Linked DNA regions of Caenorhabditis elegans. The protein of the gene in region 1 purifies or fractionates together with the protein of each later gene. This does not show direct contact. Each region holds a gene or a part of one and is shown in the gene's direction. Other genes may lie near its edges. The genes, in order: F33H2.2 and R151.8.

Region 1 (8,286 bases):
ATCCAATTAAAAATTTGATACGCCATCAGCCACACCGCCCTGATACCAATTACGTACCGCCACTGCTGCATGTTTGGGTGTCAGTGGTGGTGTGAACAGATCGACACCATTTTCTGGATCGGTCAATGATGTAAAAAGATTTGCAGACGATATTGTGCATGTCTTCACACCATCCTGACCACCTCTAGCCGGCGTTTTCGCCTCCGTCGACACTTGTCGGATCCATCGAAGCATCTCAAGGATCAGGTGTTCAAGGTAGAGAAGATGTCCACGGAATTCTTTTAGATGCACTTCTCGATCTGGAATGTGGAGAAGCTTCTCTTCGATGCCGGTTTTATCCAATTCCGTGTCAACTGCTTTTCCTGTAATTTGAATTTTAGGAAAATTTCCTCACATTTCGGCAGTTTAGTTTGTTTTTTTGTATGTTTCACTCAAAATTCTAAACTATCGAAGAAACTCCGACGAGACAAAATTTGTTAATTCATTATAGCTATTATGTTACATTCTCTTTTTTTCCAGTTAAATCTCACAAACTTTTAATTCTCAGCGACAATATCGAATCATCGAGCTCTTTCTCGGTGAACGAGAAGCTTGCCGCTTCTCTGCACGTGTCTTCGATGTTATGAGCTTCATCCAAAATGACAATCGAGTTTCTTATCTGAACATCTGACGAATTTCGAATCAATGGGTCCACCAGATACGAAAATGGACAGAAAATGATGTCAGCGTCTTGGGTGAGAATTCGGTTTGTGCTGAAGTAGGGACACAGCTGAGGATATGATATGGCCAACGTTTCGACAATTTTTTCCATATCGAATACCACTGTTCCCTGCAAAAATTGATATTGCCCGTTTCCTGAAGCTACTTTTATAATTTTCAATATGGTTAGGTTTTTTTTAAAATTTAGAATAAAATTTTTGATGTAATCTTTAGTTTCCAAATTCAGTTTTTTTAATAAATGAAAAAAAAACGAACATTTCGCTCTAAATGATCCCTTAACGGTAAAGCTTTCTCAAATCGTGGTTTCATAGCACTTTTGAATGAACAACCAATCTGAAATTTTTTTGTTTTAATAATTAAAAAAAAATCGAATTCATACCGAATGTGCACTGTTCACTTCTTTACAGTATTGTGAGATGTCTGCGTGTTTACGAGCGGCCGGATTGATGCAAGATTGTTCTCTGCTTGCGAGAATTGTGTGTCTGAATACAAAATGAGAAGATTTACACTAGGAAATTTGAATTTACTTCAGAATTTTTGCGTATGGAAGACGGGAGAACTCTTTAACGACTTGAGCAATTTGCTTGTGGGTTCGGGTGCCGTAGTAGATTCGGACGCGACTGAAAAATTAGAATTACAGAATATTGTTTGTTATGTTTCCTGGTCTCGCAACGAACCAAATATTTTGGAAGCTGTATCTGTATTGGAAGATCTATTTATTTTTTTTTTTCGCTATTTTTTGCAAAAAAGCAAATTATATATATATATATATCAAATCTTACGGAAGACACGTGCATTTCGTCTCAACGGGCTCCGGTTTTTTTACCGGCTCCAGCTCTTCTTTCAATGTGACGGGCGGTGTTTCTCCTGGTGTATGAGGCGTGAAATCGTGCTCCCATTGTGCCTCGACTAAATAAAAACATTTATGATAAACTCCACTGAAAATAAAATCCTACAAAGTTTATCGTTTTTCACTGGCACAGGCTCAATGAATTCCTCTTCTTCCGGTGGCTCTTCATATACTTTAGATTCTAGCGGTATTCCAATATCGTTAGTGAACACCACCTGTGTTTTTCCTGAAAATCCATGGATTTCACATTTTTCCTTTGATTCTCGCTTCTCATCGATATACTGCTTGAGCCATGCACACGTAGATGCCAGCAGAGCCATAGTTTTGCCACTTCCCGTCGGCGACTCGCCAAGCACATTTTGACTATTTTTCAGCGCCGTCAGAATTCTCACGATCATTAGTTTTTGAGTCGAGTAGAGGCTCAATCCACGTGGCACGCGTACCGGTACACCGAGCATCATGAGCTGCTCATACTCGTCGTTTTTGATCTGAACCCGCTTTCGTTTTCCTTTTGCCGGATTTTTAATCATCTCCCCGGCAATTTCATGGTGTAACGGCTTTTTATCATCGGGTTCTGTTGATGTGGACGGCTGCTCCTCTTTCACAACTTGAAATGCCGATCGGGTATTCGATTTTCCTTTGTTTTTGTTTGCGAACATTCTCCAAAATGCATCGCTTGAGGACATAATTACCTGCAAATGGTATTTTTCTATAAATCGCAATAACGAAAACTTTGAAAAACATTAAATTCAAATTATTTTATTTGGAACCAAAAAACAAATTTTCACCGCGTACGCAATGTGTCGTCACGGTGTTTGCACACATTACCTTATTTGCAGATCTGCAGAGCTCCGCCACGCATATCTTTTTTGCTCAAATTCAGTAGAATTTTAAAATATTTTCCACTCGAAATCTCTGAAGAGGCATGGAAATCGACGACTGTATTCGCGATAATATTCCCTGGGCGAATCTATCTCCAGATATCAAGGTTATACTGGGAAATTCGTCGAAAGAATACGAAAAGAGAGTTTTGGAGTACTCGATTCAAAATCAGCTTCGATATAAGGGGAATTTGAGTAAGTTTTTCAACTTTGAATCTTGATTTCGAACATTTCATTGCAGTACGGCACATGAAAAAGAGCGAGGAAGCGTACTATGAGCAGCTTCTACGATTTTCCGAGTCACACTTGATGCTGTACCCTTATCACTTATCAGACATCACCGTCACCGAGATGCGGCTCTCCCCATTCAGTTATTATGCGAATATTCTTACCGTATGTCTGAAAAATAGTTGATTTTTCAGCAGGATTTAATTTTCAGGAGATGCTAAACACCGAAAAGTCGTACGATTCTCTTCCAAACTTCACAGCCGCCGACGCAGTGCGATTACTTGGGATAGGAAGAAATCAATACATTGAGCTAATGAACCAAACTCGTTCAAATCGGAAATTTCTACGTCGTAGCAAGTCGGCGAGGGAGCTTTTGCCACAAAAACCAACAAAGATGATTGTCGAGTCGTGGTGGAGAACGAATGTCGGTTCGATTCTAGAAAGTGACGTGAAAACACTGAATGGTGCGATTTGTTTTAGTAAATCTTTTTAAAACAAAATTTAAATTATTTAGAAGAAGAGAAACAAGTGATAGATCGCCTCCTCGACACCAACGTGGCAATTCCGGCGGGGCTTCTAAAATATTCTGTTGTGACGTCATTGTATGATCGAGGACTGATATATTTCGATGTTCCTGTTTACGATAACGATTATATCTATGTGGCACCTCTAGATGGATTTGTGATGAATCGGGTGCTAGGAGACTATTTCGAGACTCTCCTCTATAAAATTTTCGTAGCAATTGACGATCAAACAACTGTTTTGGAGGTTTAATAGACTAATTTTCTCATATTAAACACAAAGTTTTCCACATTTTAGATGTCGCAAATCCTACACATCGATCTTCAGCTCGTTAAAAACGCGATTTCCGTGTTCTGCAGGCTAGGATTCGCCAGAAAACGTGTTACCGGCGGAGAGAACCTGACAATCCACACCTCCTGGACGTCAAATTCCACTGTAACTACACCAATGTCACCGATTTCTCCTATGTCGTGAGTGGGAGAAATGTTTGAAAAATTCTTAAATCCTAAGTTACAGAAGTTTGATCACTAGCACATCGGACGAGCTCAACGAGTTGACTAAAACACTGCTACGTGGCGATGACGATGAGACAGACGACGCGTTGTCGCCGGTATCGGAGGATTCAGCTCTTCGAGCTTCTTCGCCAAATCCTTCATTAAATAATTCTGTGGAAGTTAGTAATAGACCGGTTAATACAATGAGAAAATCTCAAAATCTAACCATTTCTGTAGAAAAGTATTAATCTGAAACTTTGATTTTCAGTCATTCCAATCCCTTTCAACATCCCAAACGGCTTCCGACCTATCTGGATCTTCTGGAACTGTTAATAGAGCTGCATTCATCTTCGATTCAACACTTACCGCATTTCTGATGATGGGAAATCTGTCGGCTTCGCTGAAAGGCCATGCAGTAGCACTTTTCGAAGTGGGAAAACTTGCTGACGAGCAAATGAAGGAATTTTTGGAGCAACTAGAGTCTGTAAATCAGTTTGCGGAAGGAGATGCACAGCGATACTCAATGCATGCAACTGCTCTACTGGATTCATTGAAGAGTTTAAGACAAGAACGTGAAGCTGATCTGATTAGAGGAGAAAGTTTGTATACACTTGATGAAAAAAGCAGACAGAGGGTTTTGCAGAAAAGTTATGGGTGAGTTATTATAGAGAGAAAAAAGTGTAACCGAAAAATTTCACACACAACCTCAGCCCTCGATTCTTGGGTGAAATTGAGTTTTCTTAAAAACCATTGGTAATTACAATTTCAAAAAAAAATCTAATTCGCAATTATCTGTATTTAATTTCAAAATTCGTCATACGCTTTTAATTTTTTTAAAGTTCAATTTGCATTTTACAAAAACTTTTTGGCAGGTTTCCAAATTTTGTTGGCAGAGTTTCAAAACTTTTCGGAAATTTTCAAAAATTTTTCTGCAATTTTCCAAACCTTTTTGGCAGATTTTCAAAACTTTTTGGCTATTTTCCGAAACTTTTCGGCAATTTTCCAGAACTTTTTGGCAATTTTCCAAAACGTTTTGGTAGATTTTCAAACTTTTTGGCAATTTTCCAAAACTTTTTGGCAATTTTTCAAAACTTTTCGGCAATTATCCAAAATTTTATGGCAATTTTCCAAAACTTTTTGGCAGGTTGCCAAAACTTTTTGTCTTTAAATTTAAGAGATTGATGAAAATAAATAAATAAATCAAAATCCTCGAACCGAAAAAAGAAGCTGACGGTTAAAAAAACGTTATATTATTTAAAATTCGAATTATTTTCATTAAACGGTTAGATGAAAATGCAAGATACCCTCTTGCATTTTCTTCATTCTATAATGAACAGTTCAGAAACAATGTCTTTTATGAACAAATAAAAAGTTGCAGATTTTCCGTTTTTTTTGCCAATTTTGATAAAATCAATCGTGATCAAAAATCCCCCGACATAAAAAAACGTCGAAATTGTTTTCTTTTCCAGAATCCTAGTTGCAATGGCTCCACTTTCAATCGAAGCGTGTGCAATTCCCGTTCAATCGGTTCCTCTAATCGGTCCACCAAACGCTGAAACCTGCTCCCCGTGGTTCCGTCTCTCAATCTATTCGGCGTGTTCTAGTGGCCCTCCAAGTGTATTTCTTCCACACGGAACTCGTCTAACAACTCTTCCACGTGTACTACAAAGCTTCCAACATCATCGGTTCCTCGTATCAAGTACCAAGCATGAACCACATATTATGACAGCTCAAAATGCACTTTTTGCATTGAATGATATGTTGGTTTATTCATCGATTTTTGTTCAATCAGTACCTCTTGACAGTGAAGATTGTGATAAAATGATCCATGTACCATTTCCATTCGAAGATTTGGAGTGTGAAACTGCATTCTGCAATCATCCAGCGATCAGAAAGCTCCGAGAGCAGCTATCACTAGATTTTACAGCAGGATATGTAATTTTACTTAAAAAATCTGGAAAATCTATCACGACATCAGGCTCAGACATCAGTGGAAGAACAAAAGCGGAGAGCAATATTATGCAGGATGTCTCATTACCAAAAGATGGTGGTTTACTCAAAAAACTGCTGCCAGGCACTTCTTTCGACGATTTTCTACTATTGGATTGTGTTTTTGGAGTACCGTTGTTCAATTCGGTGCTTAACGAGACGATTTGCAAAAGGATTTTGGGGCGCGGCATTTTGGAACAACAGAAGTTCGTTTTTTTCAACAGCCTCTATGAAAATGTACGAAAACAAAAAATTATTCGAAAAAATTATTTTGAATTTTGAAAAGAGTATTATCTTTGCCAAGAATACTTTTCATAATCTTAAAATATCAAAAATAATTTTTTAGAAGTTTCGAAAGTTTAACGTGGCAAATTAATTGCGTAAAAAATTGTGTTTCACAAGAAAAAAGAAAAAGAAAATTGTTCATGTAAAAACCAATTAAGTAAGTAAGTATAAAAACTTTTTGGCAATTTACCAACACTTTCTGGCAGGTTACCAACACTTTGGCAGGTTACCAAAATTTTTTGTATATTCACCAAAACTTTTTCCAATTTACCAAAACTTTTTCCAATTTACCAAAACTTTTGCCAATTTACCAACACTTTTTGTCAGATTAGCAACACTTTTTTAAAAATTAGTGATTACTTGAACTATTTATTCACTTTATTCGCAAAAAAACTAAGAAGCGCAGCAGATTACGAAAAAAAAATTTATCCACGAAATCTGGTATAAATTGAATAAATAGTTCAAGTGTCACTAATACACTATATTCAACAACAAAATAACTATTTTCGATTACGTGACACTTTCTCCGGCAACAAAACGGACTTGTTTTACCAGAGCATTGGGAATTTACCGTATATTTTCTATTAGTGCGGCATCTGCATCCAATAAATTCCACTGTATGCAGCACTGATAAAGAATATACGATATTCGTAATACAAAAAACCACTTAAAGAACCTGGAAGTTCATGTGCAAAACTTTTTATAGCCGTCCACGTGGCAAGATATTTTAGAGAACTTAAAATAAAATGTGCGTGCCCTAATTTTTTTCGTAAATTAGTTTTATTTCCAGCCGCTCGAACATCCAAAACTCGAACAAACAAGTGGTTGGAATGATAAACGAGTTAATTGACACAGCGAACAACGGGCTCATCAAAGGATCACAATTGTTTGTCGAAGGAACCGATCAACAGCGGAACGCACAAATCGTGCCGCCCGTTCGAGCCATTTTCTTTGATTCTAGTCAGCTGATTTCTTATGGAACTATTTGAATTGTGATATATATATTGTATGCTTATGTTAATTAAATTAAACTATTTATCAGAGGATTAAAAATAAATGTGATTTTACAAGAACATTATCAAAGATTTCTCAAATAATTAGTGATTGAATGATGTGTTCCATGGCTAATAATGCTTGATTCGATGGCAAGTTTGATTAGTTTTACTAATTTTACAGATCTTTTCGATGGTGAAATACGAGATATACATTTACATCCAATATACAAACGACGGGTCACTTCTGGAGCGCCGATCCCAAGACGAGTTCTGAAAATATATTAAGTAATGCTTTAAATTCATCTATTCCCGTTTCCGGAAATTATAAATTTTCTAGAAACTCAAAAATTAGATCTTTCAATATTTCGGTTTTTTCCAGAAATAAAATGTTTCAATTTTGTGGAAAATGTTCGTATTTTCATGATTTTAGAAAAAAAAATTCTTCAGAAAACTAGAATCAGATTCGTCTTAAATGTTATTTACGTATACTTTTTCTACATCAACTGAGCTAGGATATTAAGATAAACTTACATAAAATGCTCACTGCCTCTTCCAGCGATCAAGTCCAAATCCAAGTCATTCACATTTTCCAGTGAACTGCTACAATAAGCAATCTGCTCGTCGAGTTGCAAAATTGCCACGTTGCATTCCGCCAGGATGTCTTGATAGTCAGCACGTAGTTTTTGAAGGTAAGCCAATTCTTGTACTGTTGTGAATTGATTTGTTTTATGGAGATTTTCAATAATATCCAAAAGATTTAATGTTGAATGGATGCTCTGCAATTTGAAAAAATTCATGTTTTTCAAAAAAAAGGAGTACTCAATTTACCATAACTGGTACCCAAAAGTTTTTGGGATTTTACCAAAACTTTTTGTCGTTTTCGAAATTTTTTTGCCATTTACCAAAACTTTTGGCAACTAACGAAAACATTTTCGCAACTTACCAAATCTTTTGGCAGGTTTCCAAAACTTTTTGGCAATTTACCAAAACTTTTGGCAACTTACCAAAACTTTTGGCAGGTTTCCACAACTTTTTGGCAGGTTGTCAAAGGCTTTTTGGCAATTTACCAAAACTTTTTTACAGTTTTCCAAAACTTTTTGGCATGTTTCCAAAACTTTTTGGCAGGTTGTCAAAGGCTTTTTGGCAATTTTCCAAAACTTTTCGGCAGTTAACCAAAAACGTTTAATCGACAGTCGATCCTAATAACTAACCTGTTCAAAGGGCAAAAACGCTAATTTCTCACAAACTGAACAGTTTCCAGATCCCTTCACAAATCCCGTGCAATTTTTTGTTCGACATTTTGAGCTTAACCCGATTAGATC
Region 2 (7,083 bases), on another chromosome or scaffold:
AATTGTAAACGATGGAACAGCTCTCATAGATTGTCATGCTGAAATTCTCGCAAGAAGAGGCCTTCTGAGATTTTTGTATTCCGAAGTTCTAAAGTTCTCTACAGAGCCACCCAATTCAATTTTTACAAAAGGAAAGAACGCATTGGTGCTGAAGCCAGGAATTTCTTTCCATTTATTCATAAACACCGCACCATGTGGAGTTGCGAGAATAGATGTAACTTTTCAAGTATTAATTTTTGTAAATTCTTCATTTGAATTATTTTCAGAAAAAGCTAAAACCCGGAACATCAGATGACCTTCAAAATTCTTCTCGTCTTCGATTCAAAATTGATAAAGGTATGGGCACAGTGCTCGGTGGTGCTTCTGAGTTTGAAGCTCCACAAACATTTGATGGAATCATGATGGGAGAACGAATGAGGACAATGTCTTGCTCTGATAAATTGCTTCGAGCAAATGTACTGGGTGTCCAAGGAGCAATATTATCACATTTCATCGATCCAGTTAGTTTAACCTGATTAGTATAACATGAGATCTTGATTTTCAGATCTATTACTCGTCAATCGCCGTTGCCGAGTTGAACAATGCAGATCGTCTCCGTAAAGCAGTTTACAGCAGAGCAGCCACCTTCAAACCTCCAGCTCCATTCCATGTTCAAGACGTGGAAATCGGAGAGTGTCAAGTGGAAGATACTGAGCAATCAACTTCTGCAGCAGCACGATCCACGATTAGTTCGATGAATTGGAACTTGGCTGATGGAAATACAGAAGTTGTACGAACATCGGATGGAATGGTTCATGATAAGGATATGAGCGGGGCTGACATCACGACTCCATCCAGATTGTGTAAAAAAAATATGGCAGAACTGATGATTACTGTAAGCTGGGGGAAAATAAAAATAATTTTCTTGATGTTTTGAGTGTGAAACTCAACAATTCCTTCTATTTCAGATCTGCACGTTGACAAAGACTTCTGTGGATTATCCAATCTCATACGAAGAACTCAAAGCTGGATCTCAAGAATACGCTGCTGCAAAAAAGTCGTTCATTACCTGGCTGCGACAGAAGGATCTCGGAATTTGGCAACGAAAGCCACGAGAATTTCAAATGTTTACTATAAATTAATCAATGCAATTTTACCTTTATTGTATCAAAAGTTCAATGTGGTTCCACTTTTAAAAATCTCATGCAGCATCGTGTATTCATTCCATTTTAGCTGTTAACTCTTAATTTCTGCATTAATTAATTGTTAATCTTTTATTTTTTGGACTTACAATTTTCAGTGATTCGAGTTACTTATCTCGGAGTTGAATATTATTTAAGGAAACGAAAACTGGAATAAATATGTTTTTATAGAAATTTCCAGATGCCTGCATCAGTGACCCATGTGATTTTCGATTTTGACGGTCTTCTCGTCGACACAGAATCTGCATACACGGAAGCGAATATGGAGCTTTTGAGAAAATATGGACACGTTTTCACAATGGATTTGAAGAGAAGTGAGAAGAAATATCAGAAATATTTTTATTTTAATATAAATTTCAGGGCAAATGGGAAAACGCCATGATGAATCGATCCGATGGCTAATCAACGAACTGAAAATCGGCGATCTTGTGACACCGGAAGAGTATTCACGTCAATACGATGAACTTCTCATCGAAATGTTCAAAAGGAGTCCTGCGATGCCTGGAGCTGAGAAACTGGTTCGTCACCTTCTTCATACCGGAGTTCCAGTTGCATTGTGTACTGGATCGTGTAGTCGCACATTTCCAACGAAATTGGATAACCACAAAGATTGGGTGAACATGATCAAGTTGCAAGTTTTATCGGGAGATGATCCTGAAGTGAAACACGGAAAACCACACCCAGATCCATTTTTGGTGACTATGAAACGATTCCCACAAGTTCCAGAATCGGCGGACAAAGTTCTTGTATTTGAAGATTCGTACAATGGTGTCTTGTCGGCACTCGATGCTGGAATGCAATGTGTGATGGTTCCAGAACGATCGATTTTCGACCCCGATTCAGACCCAGAATTCAAAAATCGTGTGACTGTGATTTTGAATAGTTTGGAACAGTTTAAGCCAGAGGACTTCGGATTGCCCCCATATTAAATATATCATATTTTTCTTTCAAAAAACTGATGGTTTACTTCTATCTGTATTCGATCGTACTTTGTGATATTCACATAACCATTTTATATTTCTAGTTGTTTTTTTTTGAATATATTTTTGCAACAGTTTATTTCACATTGACTCTTTCATCGATCGATAGTGTTTGAGGCACTAATTATTATCTTATTTGACTTTCAAAGTTAAGGCAAATATATTATAACTGATTTTCAAATTTTTCTACATCAATCCAAACTGTATTGTGCATATGTTGCTATGCTATGTTCCTTAATCTATCTTGAATTTGGACATAATTTAACTGTGTACAAATGCGCTCTGGTGGTAACCGCTAATTTTGAAAAGAATTCTCGATTATATTTTCTTCATTTTTTGTTTCAGAAATGCAATCAGATGAGCCATCAACGTCATCTGCCAGTTCTTCTCGACGACGCATCGCCTTTGGGCGGCCTCCCGTATTGAGGGAAAGACCGCTTCAATCACCTGCACCGATTACATCGACTTCATTGACGTCCGGGCTAGACAAAGAACCTCAAACATCAACTGACAACACTACAACAAATGGAGAAATATTGAACCCGTCAAGTTCGGAACCCACGTGCACTTCTGTACTTTCTGACCAAAAATCGCTAGATCTTCCAAAAAGAAGAGCTTGGTCTTTTGATGAAGTTTGCGCTTTTCATGATGGAATCAAGCTTGTGAGTCATATATATTAACAATCTCTGTGATTATATTATTGTTTCAGCACGGGAAAGATTTTGACAGTGTTGTAAAGTTCATGGCGAAGCGAAAAATGGAAAAGACCAAAGATCACGTGAAGACGTTCTTCTTCAATTCGGCAAAAGCATATAAATCATTATTGGCAATGACAGATGGTAATAAGAATATATTTTAATCTGATCTCACATGTTTGTTAAATTCAGATGATTTTGCAAATATTCCACGAGATGCTCGAGAACTGTTTCTTCTCATCAACGCGTGCGAATATAAGCGTAAAACTGTTAATATGAAGGTTATTGTAGAGAAGTTGAAGGAGTTAGTGTTCGAAGGGTTGGTTTTAAAAAATTTGAACTTGAAAAATTATTACTAAAAGTTTGCAGAACTGTTGTCGTCAGAGCTGGTAGGAAATTGGTAACGATTAAAACACCACCTTGCCCAGCACTTTGCAGATACTTCAGTGAGTTTATGGATTGGAAATTAGTTTTTATTTAGATTATTGTTTTAAGGCGTCAAAAAAGGTGATAAAGTTCCAAATGATCTCTACATTCACCTCGAGCCAACAAGCAATGGAGACCATGTTTTCATGAGACAACGTAATCAGAATCCATTTCTTCGTGTTAAACTCAATGCAAACGATCGAATCACAAAACTTCTCGAGTTTTTGCACAAAAAATGGTCATTGGCAGGAGATTCTACCCCTATTTCAGTCACTTTATGGCCGGATAGTTCTTGTGAAATAGCGAGTTTATGCGTTCAATCGGCCGAAAATTCACCGTTCATCTCGTTGTCTATGAACAAATTGATTAAGAATGTAGAAGAGAGTAAGGAGAAGCTGGAAGCTAAGAAAATAGAAGTAACTGGAATAAAAGTGGCGACGGATGTTAATATCAGTTAGTTAATGATTCAGTTGACAAAAACATTTATTGTTTTTTCAGAAACAAAACCATCTCATACTGTAACTTATCCAAGACCTTTCACGTTAACCGATGAAATTATTGCGGAAGGAATAAATTCTAAAAATGTTCGAAATGCAATTGTGGCGGAACTTTTTTGTGTTGTAAGTTAATTTAACACTCTTATTATCAGTTTTATTTGTTCTATTTTTCAGTGTGGCCGTAAAAATCCAATCCAATTAAGATATCAAGTTCATAACGAGAACCAACCTATTCAAGCATCTGAACCCTGGAAAGTAATGATTAATCTATTAAATAGAGGATACGGAGATTGTTTGGCGCCGAGTAAGACCAGAAAAAGAGACAAACCAACGGCAGATTCGTGAGTCGCTTTTTCCTCCGATCCGAGTATTTTCAATTTTCAATCCGAGTCAAGAGTGTCATTAAAAAATTAACATTTTTGGGAACATCGAGAGATCAAAAAATATTTAGTAAATTAACAATAAAATTAAATTTTTCATCAAATTTTGATCATGTTGATGAAAAACATAGCTGCTAAAAAAATGACAAAAATTTAAGATATTTTTCTAAATATCGAAAAAACGAAATTTTTCGATGTTCCAAAAAGCTGTTGTTCCAAATATCATTACAGAGAACCAAGTTCGTCAGCTTCGAAAAAGAAAAAATGTGATGATACTACTTCGGATGTTCCTGGCAATCCAGTGAGCGACATCGTTCGACAAGAAACTGAAGACTTTGCATGTCAACTCGCATTTCTTAAAAAGACAACTCGAAAGAAGACTGCTCCAGCAAAACGAAAACCAACGAATCCAGTACTTGCAACAGTTACTCCTCAACTACTGATTCGTCCGCCACCCGGAGAGTCAAGTTCCGCTCCTGCGATTCAGGATCTTATGGTGAAACAAGTGTTCGCAGCACCAAAAACTACAATAATTCCGAGAAGAACCTCTACATATTCGGAAAAGAAATCTCTACTTCTATCAAATGCTCATAAAATATCAGAACTCACTGCAACTTCTGACTCACCAAGTACAAGTACTCAAGGACCAACTGATTTCTCATCTGTCGTGTTCTCTCCAACAAAACGAAGTGCAGATCCTGAATTGCAAAGAAAAAGAAATGATGCATTTTTATCATCTCTACGTACACCAGATCCAACTCCGAAGGTATGCAATGAGACAATATCGAATTGTAAAAAAATCTTCTAATTTTTCAGAAAGACAGCATTATGCAACAATATTTCGGTGGAGATCTATCAATGTCACCTGGATCGACACGACATGCATCTCATTTGGAAACTCCTGGAGGAAATAACACGTAAGTAAAGAAATAATTTGATAACAAATAATACAACTGATTTTTAGAACAATTGACTTCACCGACATGATGTACCAGAATATTACGAATCACGGAGATCTGACTACAATTTCTAATCCGGCTCTGCATTTCTCAGTTAATGAAGTTCACGAAAAATATCACGATATGATTTCTTCATCGCAAGATAGTCAGGATTACATTCTATCGCACTTTCAGAAGAAGAAGACCACGCCCAAGAAGAAAAAATAGTTTTTTTTGCTTTCTGATATTGAATCTCACGAATTGTATTTTCTTAAATATTCCATATTATTCATTTTCTGTACTACACTCAATTTTCCATTGAATTTCAGGTTTTTACTTTTTGCATTCCTTAATATTTCGATTCTTGCTTCATAAAATTTTTTTATACTGTTTTATATCTGCCAAGAGTTGTTTTATGAACTGGTTTGTTTTCCAAATATCATTATCTCCATCCTATTGCCTTTCCAGATCCAAAAATCATTTTATTAGATGTCGCTCCCGGTACGGATGTTAACTGGCAGGATCATGCGAACAATGAGATACGTAGCTCCCATCACCGCTTCACATTTCACCCCTTCTGTACCAACACAACGGAGATGGATGGCTTCTGAACCACAGAGACATGAATTCCAAGCAGAGACACGGAATCTTATGGACATTGTCGCAAAATCCTTGTATTCACACAGCGAGGTAAATATTTTTTAAAAAGTTCAATATAGCCCAGACACAAAATTTTTTGAATTTTGCGTCAAAAGTACGGTACCCGGTCTCGACATGAACTTTGACAAATCGTGCGAAAACTTCAAAAAAGCGATAAAAATTCTGCAAAAACGAACATTTCAAATTACAGTACTCTTTAAAGGCGCACACCTTTTTGTCTTTAACAAAGTTTGTCGTGTCGAGACCGGATACCGTATACTTCGCGAAAAAAATTGGCAGAATATTTCCTTATTCTCAAAAAATATAGGAAATTGATGTATTCCACAAGTATTTAATTTTTGTTTTAGGTATTTGTTCGCGAGCTCATTTCCAATGCTTCGGATGCTCTTGAGAAGAGACGATACGCAGAATTGAAAGGTGACGTGGCAGAAGGTCCAAGTGAAATTCGAATCACGACTAACAAAGACAAACGAACAATCACATTTGAGGATACCGGTATCGGAATGAATCGAGAGGATCTTGTAAAGTTTTTGGGAACTATTGCAAAATCAGGATCGAAGGATTTCATTGAGAATGTGAGGATAAATTCTGATAAAACAATGAAAATCATATTTGTTTTAATTTATAGAACAAGGAAAACGCTGAAGCAGTTATTGGACAATTCGGAGTTGGATTCTACTCAGCTTTTATGGTTGCTGATTCCGTTGTTGTCACGACTAGAAAAGTTGGTTCATCGGATGCCGATGGCCTTCAATGGACATGGAATGGAGACAACTCGTATGAAATTGCTGAAACATCCGGGCTTCAAACTGGAACTAAAATTGAGATTAGACTGAAAGTTGGAGATTCGGCAACCTATGCGGAAGAAGATAGAATCAAAGAAGTTATCAATAAATATTCGTATTTTGTTTCTGCGCCAATTTTGGTGAATGGAGAGAGAGTGAACAATTTGAATGCAATTTGGACGATGCAGGCGAGAGAAGTTAACAAAGAAATGCATGAAACATTCTTCAAGTTAGTTAATGTAATTTTATTTTATAGATTATTAAATTTGATATTTCCAGACAACTCGTGAAAACGCAAGGAAAACAAGAAATGTATACTCGTCCACAATACACAATTCATTTTCAAACTGATACTCCAGTATCTCTTCGATCAGTTATCTACATTCCACAGACTCAATTCAACCAGCTAACGTTCATGGCTCAACAGACGATGTGTGGACTCTCACTCTATGCAAGACGAGTTCTTATTAAGCCAGATGCCCAGGAGTTGATTCCAAAGTAAGAGTTTTCAAATTTAAAACCTCTGAAACTCGAGTATTTG

Evidence for each region.
Region 2: the proteins of F33H2.2 (region 1) and R151.8 fractionate together in Caenorhabditis elegans (co-fractionation; one large-scale study listed by BioGRID). This does not show direct contact.

Annotation. Positions count from the first base shown.
Region 1 is NC_003279.8:15,020,725-15,029,010, forward strand, and holds F33H2.2 (Protein FAM91A1), read left to right. Parts: upstream 1-2,443; 5' UTR 2,444-2,495; coding exon 2,496-2,646; intron 2,647-2,692; coding exon 2,693-2,844; intron 2,845-2,890; coding exon 2,891-3,143; intron 3,144-3,193; coding exon 3,194-3,447; intron 3,448-3,498; coding exon 3,499-3,671; intron 3,672-3,717; coding exon 3,718-3,874; intron 3,875-3,963; coding exon 3,964-4,349; intron 4,350-5,164; coding exon 5,165-5,890; intron 5,891-6,759; coding exon 6,760-6,958; 3' UTR 6,959-7,037; downstream 7,038-8,286. Other genes in the region: dog-1 (Helicase ATP-binding domain-containing protein), read right to left, coding at 58-362, 535-829, 976-1,053, 1,100-1,202, 1,248-1,340, 1,503-1,629, 1,677-2,256; set-10 (MYND-type domain-containing protein), read right to left, coding at 7,048-7,234, 7,496-7,740, 8,176-8,286.
Region 2 is NC_003281.10:7,225,211-7,232,293, reverse strand, and holds R151.8 (Myb-like domain-containing protein), read left to right. Parts: upstream 1-2,506; 5' UTR 2,507-2,508; coding exon 2,509-2,823; intron 2,824-2,870; coding exon 2,871-3,000; intron 3,001-3,048; coding exon 3,049-3,175; intron 3,176-3,225; coding exon 3,226-3,302; intron 3,303-3,351; coding exon 3,352-3,735; intron 3,736-3,780; coding exon 3,781-3,902; intron 3,903-3,953; coding exon 3,954-4,120; intron 4,121-4,390; coding exon 4,391-4,925; intron 4,926-4,975; coding exon 4,976-5,076; intron 5,077-5,123; coding exon 5,124-5,325; 3' UTR 5,326-5,487; downstream 5,488-7,083. Other genes in the region: Double-stranded RNA-specific adenosine deaminase adr-2, read left to right, coding at 1-214, 267-500, 545-874, 948-1,121; R151.10 (uncharacterized protein), read left to right, coding at 1,363-1,495, 1,542-2,110; hsp-75 (Histidine kinase/HSP90-like ATPase domain-containing protein), read left to right, coding at 5,587-5,787, 6,105-6,332, 6,386-6,771, 6,822-7,040.